Nothobranchius furzeri: one gene and its partner. The protein of the gene in region 1 interacts with the protein of each later gene in a pairwise test. Links are inferred from orthologs where the notes say so. Each region holds a gene or a part of one and is shown on either strand. Other genes may lie near its edges. The genes, in order: aldh16a1 and dera.

Region 1 (3,817 bases):
GATAGTGAGTACTAGGCGTATGTAGACGGAGTACTCTGTGATAGTGAGTACTACGCATATGTAAGCGGAGTACTCTGTGATAGTGAGTACTAGACGTATGTACAGTGGAGTACTCTGTGATAGTGAGTACTAGGCGTATGTAGGCGGAGTACTCTGTGATAGTGAGTACTAGGCATATGTAAGCGGAGTACTCTGTGATAGTGAGTACTAGGCGTATGTACAGTGGAGTACTCTGTGATAGTGAGTACTAGACGTATGTAGGCGGAGTACTCTGTGATAGTGAGTACTAGACGTATGTACAGTGGAGTACTCTGTGATAGTGAGTACTAGGCGTATGTAGGCGGAGTACTCTGTGATAGTGAGTACTAGGCGTATGTACAGTGGAGTACTCTGTGATAGTGAGTACTAGACGTATGTAGGCGGAGTACTCTGTGATAGTGAGTACTAGGCATATGTAAGCGGAGTACTCTGTGATAGTGAGTACTAGGCGTATGTAGGCGGAGTACTCTGTGATAGTGAGTACTAGGCGTATGTACAGTGGAGTACTCTGTGATAGTGAGTACTAGACGTATGTAGGCGGAGTACTCTGTGACAGTGAGTACTAGGCGTATGTAAGCGGAGTACTCTGTGACAGTGAGTACTAGGCATATGTAGGCGGAGTACTCTGTGATAGTGAGTACTAGTACCACTGTGATCTGTGTCGGGGCCAGCGGAGGTATTTGTGAGCATGTCTTCCTGTGGTGAAGCTCTTACCCGGGCTGGACCTTAACAGCAGCCTCCACAGCATCTCGAACATCCTTCCTGCCTCCATCAGGACACAAGGCCAGCACCGCGCTGCCCCCTGGTGCCCGCACAGCCATGGTGCAGCCTGACACTGATTTACAGGCTTTTCCACCAACAAACTGCAGGTAGGACTGAGGAGAACTGAGGGGAGACAGAGAATCTCTAAACTCTTCCTTAAACACTCCACCGTTTGTTTAAACCGATAAACTACTAAAACCACACCTTCCAGGCTCAGACGATTCAGGAATGAAAGCCTGCGACGGTTCTGTCCCAAACCGCGTGTAGTCCATGAGACCCGGAGCGGAGCGAGGAAGAGGAGTAGAACCAGACGGACGCAGAAACTGGTAAAGGCCCTGGATGAACGCAGAGGAGATCTAAATGTATGGAACAACACTGGAGCACCAGAAGAAAGGTTAAGCTACCTCCTGTCCTCCATCAGTGCAGGTGCCGCTGTCTTTGTGACCAGAGACAGGAAGACAGGGATCCACCACAGAGCTGGAGTTCACCCACACAGAGCCAACCGACAGACTGGGAATGACACAAAAAGTGTGAGTGAAACGACGAGAAAGGAGAGCCACCTGAGCAGAAGAACGACGAAGGACACCTGTGTGCCGTCTCCAGAGCCAGAGTCAGATCTTCGGTCCAGATGGACGCCGCGTGGCCGTGAGGGCTGTGGTTTCCTGAACACACCAGAGACCATCACCGCTGTAAAGGCCTTCCATCAAAGCTGCTGCTGACTGTCTCACCTGACGTCGCTGGCTTCACTAAAGGTTTGCTTTCTAAGTGGAAACGGTTCTCTGAGCCTGTGTGTGAAGCTTTGGTATCACCAGACCTGAAGCCCTGACGAATGACCAAACACAAACCCGTAACACCGCCCTACAACGCATCCCCACGCTTCTGGAATAAGCCGCTAAGATGGCAGACACAGCCCAGTCTGGACCGGTGGCTCAGCTCAGGACAGCGGCTGAAGAAGTCAGTGGAGGTGTAAACGGAGGGGGGCTAACGTAGCGGACTCACGGACACACGCTGCGATTCTGCTTCACGGCTGCAACAACAAAACGTTCTTCCCAGAGCAGACCGAAGCTCTGATAACTAAACGAGTTCATCTGGGGAGTCTCCTTCTTACCCATGACCACAGCCTCGGCGTTGCTCCTGAAAGTCACGACGGGCAGCAGCGGTCCAGGGGGGGGGCTGACCACGAACGGAGAGGAGGGGGCCGCACCACAGAGCAGCGTGGGGGGGTACTGGGAGCCAGGAGGGGGTGGGCAGGACTGAACCAACTGGGGAGAAAAGCAGATTTATTAGTGGACCCGAGCGGACGTCTGAGTGGATCTTGTTATTCCGTCTCAGTCCAGGCAGCTTTACGTTTAAGCTGGCGAGCTTATCGACGGGAAACGCGCCGGTTGAGTATCACTTACTGCTTTGTTGACTTAAACTAGGAGAAGAAGAGTAATCCCTCAGATCTGAGCAGATTAAAGTCTAACGATGACAGGTGACACCTCCTGTGAGGTCTAACCAGCTTTGTGTGAGGCTGAGCACCAACCGTGGCCCCCTGCTGCTGAGCCTCCTCTACTGCAGCGTCCACGAGGACTCGGTCTGCATCACTACGCAGGCTGACACACTTCAGTCCAGCGATGCGTAGCTTGAGACGGGCGGTGACACTTTCTGACACACTTTCCTGCACACACAGCACCCAGTGGACCTGAGCACAGAGAGAGATGTTAGAGATCCTGCTGCAACCGCTCCAGCTCCAGCTCTTCTTCTACAGCGGGTCGTCACCTCCTTCCTCTTCTTGAAGGCGGCCTGCACCACTTCATCCACAGCGCTGTCCATGTCAGCTGACTCAAAGATGATGAAGGGACAGACGGGCCCGATGCACAAGGAGACAGACACAGGAAGTCCCATCCCTGCTGTGGCCTTGCACAGCGCCGCGCCATCCTGAAGGACAACAGAAACGCTCTCGTGTGAAGTCACGGCTCAGGTTGAACTCCAGACCGAGTAAAACACACCTGTTGGTTCCCGCTGTAAGTCACGAAGCTGGCATTAGGGTCCTGAGCCACTTTAGCACCAAGAGTGACATCACTTCCTGTTAAAACATTAAGAGCTCCAGCAGGAAGTCCTCCTGCTGCCAAAAGCTGAGCCAAAAGGAGAGCTGGAGGGGCGGCGCTCCGACCGGGAACAGCGATCACGGAGTTTCCTGGAGAGATCCGAAACAACAAGATCTGGGACGAAGACTAAACAAGGAACGCCAGCGTGTGATTGGCTCGTTCCTGGGAAATACTAATAAGATCATAAAACAGAGATCATGTGCATGGTTGGGACTACCCAACGTGGGACCCCTCCCTAAAGCACACCAGGACTGTTTCAGCCCCTCACGTGCAGCACGACATTTCCAAATGACTGGAGGACGTCGGCTTGTTTTTCCTGTGGTTGAGGGGTTGAGCTGCGGCGTTTGTGCTGTGTCATTTTCTAAATTAATTAAAAGAGATTACAGATTATCTGACAATCCTAATCCAAAGATAACAGGCATCTCCTAGGAGCTGGGTCGACACCATGGACGCACCGAGTCCAAGTACTTATACTGGAGTGCTCACCCATACGAGTACTAATACAGTGGGAAAAAAGTACTAGGCAGCACCGATAGTGCGAGTTGTCATCAGCGTGTTGGAAACCTTTGAGGAAGATCATTTAAGTCAAGCGAGTTCAAAGTTTCACAATAAAATACGAGTTTGTTTTTTTATTGATCTAAAAATGTCATTTTGTGGCTCTCGAGTAGTTTCAGCTTGGTGCTTCTGGCCCGTTTTCACAGCTGTGAAGTTTCACCGAAAGGTGCTTAGAATGAAAATGTATTATTATTATTACAATTATCAATATTATTATTACTATTATTATTATATTATTACTATTATCATTATGATATTATTATTAATATTACTATTATTATTACTATTATTATTATTATTACTACTACTATTATCATTATTATTACTATTATTATTACTATTATCATATTATTATTATTATTACTATTATA
Region 2 (3,808 bases), on another chromosome or scaffold:
ACCTTTTTGCTGGTAGAGCTGAAGCATGTCTAAAGGTTCTAAAGGACTATGATTAAACCTCCCTCAAATGTAGAAAAACAAGAATCCACAACATCATGGGTGACTTAAAATGCAACAATAAATAAAATGTTTCATTTTATTATTTTTAAACTGAGTGGAAACATCATCCTCCTTCTGTGACAGCTCAGGCTGGTAAAGCTCACCCAAACAGTCCAGAGGTCGTTGTCCCAAAGAGGAGGTGTTTACCCATAATGCAACAGCTATTATAAACCAAGTGCCTCTGTTCAGTAATGACTGAACCCAAAGTAACATGTTGATAAAACTCACTTCTGTACATTATCCATTCTCTATGACTCTATATCAGAAACAATCTTTTACACTACAGACACTTACAACCTCATTTAACCAGTGACAACCCCTTTAGATGCTATTCATAAGAACTAGAAGTCAGATGAAATACAGAACATTTAGCTGTTTTTATTTCAAACTTAGTTAAAAACGAGAAAAGGATAACGATTAGACATTATTTTAAGCAAACAACTAAAGATGTTTTACTGACTGTTGCTGACGTGGATGACTCAAGGAAGAGAGAGGCATTAAAACTTGGGTCAATCTTTATTTATCTTCTGTAATTATGATTAAATCATTAAGTCAACATGACATCAGATCTTTGTGATCATCAGAAGATGTTACTCTTCAGCCAGAGCCATCTGGTAGTCGGTGTGAATCTGGACTCAGCAGGGGAACTCTAAACCACACAGAGATGAGCTTTAGACCCATATGGACGTCCCAGCATTGGTACTGGTCAGCAGAAAGGTGCAAAGCTGAGTCTGAAACACCTGATTTGTGACAGTCGTGTGCTGATCTTCTTCATCTCAAATCATCTTAAATCCCAGCTTGGTTCTTCTAAACACAATAAACCAAATTTGGGTCTTTTTCTGTTTATGCTGTACCAAGGACACGTGGATGAAAAAAAGTCCTGGTCAGAAGCCCCCGGTGGGATGTAGAGGACCAAACACATCCAGGACTCTAATTAACAAAATGTGACTATAGACATTATGCTTACTGATTAGTTAACCAGGTGTGTCTGAGGTTCTGATTAGAACTGGATCAGGACGTGTGTGGGTTCAGGCCATAGGCAGCTCATGAAAGGCTGCATACCGTCCAGTCACATAATGGTAGATCTGTGTGAGTACAAACAGAGAATGAGATGCAGCAGTGTGTGTGTGTGTGTGTGTGTGTGTGTGTGTGTGTGTGTGTGTGTGTGTGTGTGTGTGTGTGTGTGTGTGTGTGTGTGTGTGTGTGTGTGTGTGTGTACGTGTGTGCGTGCGTGCATGTGTGTGTGTGTGTGTGAAAGAAAGACTGAATCCTCACCTGCCTCTCTATATCAGCCAATAGGCTGCTGGCTCCAAGGCGAAACAGGTGAGGACAGAGCCAATCAGGGCCCAATTCCTCTTTGATTAAAGTCAGCCACACCAGAGCCTCGTGGGCCGTCCGGATCCCCCCAGCCGGCTTGAAGCCCACCTGTAGAGACAGGAAGCAGGTGGACTCTTTTACCTTGAAACGGGACACGAGATACTGGTCTGTACTCAAGTATGACCAGAGAGAAACAACCCTATAAACCCCTGATCCTGAGGGCTCAGACAACTCGGAGACAAGTTATTGGAAAACCCCAAGTGACTTCTCACAAGTTTAAAACCTGTCTATCCATCCATCCATTTTCATGCACTTATCCAGTGTCGGGTCGCGGGGGCAGTAGCCTAAGGTGAGAGGCCCAGACTTCCCTCTCCCCAGCCACTTGGGCCAGCTCCTCCAGGGAAATCCCAAAGCGTTCCCTGGCCAGGTGAGAGACATAGTCTCTCCACCGTGTCCTGGGTCTACCTTTAGGTCTCCTCCCAGTTGGACGTGCCCAGAAAACCTCATCAGGGAGACGTCCAGGAGGCATCCTAACCAGATGCCCGAGCCACCTCAACTGGCTCCTCTCGATGTGGAGGAGCAGCGGGTCTACTCCGAGCCCCTCCTGGATGACTGAGCTTCTCACCCTATCTCTAAGGGAGAGCCCAGCCACTCTGCGGAGAAAACTCATTTTGGCCGCTTGTATCCACGATCTCGTTCTTTCGGTCACTACCCAAAGCTCATGACCATAGGTGAGGGTAGGAACGTAGATCGACCGGTAAATCGAGAGATTCACCTTCTGACTAGGCTCTCTCTTGACCATGACAGACCGGTACAACGCCCACATCAGGGCAGCACCAATCCGCCTATCGATCTCACGCTCCAGTTTTCCCTCACTCATGAACAAGACCCCGAGATACTTAAACTCCTCCACTTGGGGCAGGACCTCATCCCTGACCCGGAGAAGGCATTCTACCCTTTCCCGAATCAAGACCATGGTCTCAGATTTAGAGGAGCTGATTCTCATCCCAGCTGCTTCACACTCGGCTGCGAACCGCTCCAGCGAAAGCTGAAGATCACATTCTGATGAAGCCAACAGGACAACATCATCTGCAAAAAGCAGAAACCTGATCCTCAGGCCACCAAAACGATCCCCTCCACACCTTGGCTGCGCCTAGAAATCCTGTCCATAAAGGTTATGAACAGAATCGGTGACAAAGGGCAGCCTTGGCGGAGTCCAACTCTCACTGGGAACGAGCCCGACTTACTGCCGGCAATGCAGACCAAGCTCTGACACCGGTCATACAGGGACCTAACAGCCCGTATCAGAGGGCCTGTTACCCCATACTCCCGGAGTACCCCCCACAGGGCCCCCCGAGGGACACGGTCAAACGCCTTCTCCAAATCCACAAAACACACGTAGACTGGTTGGGCAAATTCCCAAGCACCCTCCAGGATCCCCCTAAGGGTATAGAGCTGGTCCAGTGTTCCACGGCCAGGACCAAAACCACATTGCTCCTCCTGAATCTGAGGTTCAACATTGCGACGGACCCTCCTCTCCAGAACCCCTGAATAGACCTTACCAGGAAGGCTCAGGAGTGTGATCCCCCTGTAGTTGGAACACACCCTGCGGTCCCCCTTTTTAAATAAGGGAACCACAACCCCGGTCTGCCAGTCCAGTGGGACTGCCCCCGATGTCCACGCGAAATTGCAGAGCCGTGTCAGCCAACACAGCCCCACAACATCCAGAGCTTTAAGGAACTCCGGGCAGATCTCATCCACCCCCGGAGCCTTGCCACAGAGGAGCTTTTTAACCCCCTCAGTGACCTCAGCACCAGAGATTTGAGAGGCCAACCCAAATTCCCCAGACCCTGCTTCCTCACTGGAAGACATGTCGGTGGGATTGAGGAGGTCTTCGAAGTATTCTGCCCACCGATCCACAACGTCCTGAGTAGAGGTCAGCAGCACACCATCCCCATTATAGATAGTGTTGGTAGTGCACTGCTTCTCCCCCCCTGAGGTGCCGGAAGGTGGACCAGAATCTCCTCAAAGCCGTACAGAAGTCTTGCCCCATGGTCTCACCGAACTCCTCCCATGCCCGAGTTTTTGCCTCGGCGACCACACAAGCCATGTTCCTGCTTGGACTGCCGGTACCCGTCAGCTGCCTCTGGAGTTCCACAGGCCAAAAAGTCCTGATAGGACTCTTAATTCAGCTTGACAGCATCCCTAACCGCCGGTGTCCACCAGCGGGTTCGGGGGTTGCCACCACGACAGGCACCGACGATCCTGCGACCACAGCTCCAGTCGACCGCCTCAACAATGGAGGCACGGAACAGGGTCCATTCAGACTCAATGTCCCCCGCCTACCCCGGAACATTTTGGAAGTTCTGTCAGAGGTGGGAATTGAAGCTCC

The links.
Region 2: the proteins of aldh16a1 (region 1) and dera interact in binary tests that used the Homo sapiens proteins (3 or more experiments, as listed by UniProt). The link is inferred for Nothobranchius furzeri from reciprocal best matches to the Homo sapiens genes ALDH16A1 and DERA.

Annotation. Positions count from the first base shown.
Region 1 is NC_091752.1:71,354,852-71,358,668, forward strand, and holds part of aldh16a1 (aldehyde dehydrogenase family 16 member A1), read right to left. Parts: intron 2,981-3,817; coding exon 2,793-2,980; intron 2,722-2,792; coding exon 2,563-2,721; intron 2,486-2,562; coding exon 2,327-2,485; intron 2,064-2,326; coding exon 1,910-2,063; intron 1,464-1,909; coding exon 1,388-1,463; intron 1,312-1,387; coding exon 1,206-1,311; intron 1,137-1,205; coding exon 1,006-1,136; intron 925-1,005; coding exon 754-924; intron 1-753.
Region 2 is NC_091741.1:64,226,234-64,230,041, forward strand, and holds the end of dera (deoxyribose-phosphate aldolase), read right to left. Parts: intron 1,525-3,808; coding exon 1,375-1,524; intron 1,185-1,374; coding exon 1,128-1,184; 3' UTR 597-1,127; downstream 1-596. UniProt on the Homo sapiens protein: Catalyzes a reversible aldol reaction between acetaldehyde and D-glyceraldehyde 3-phosphate to generate 2-deoxy-D-ribose 5-phosphate. Participates in stress granule (SG) assembly.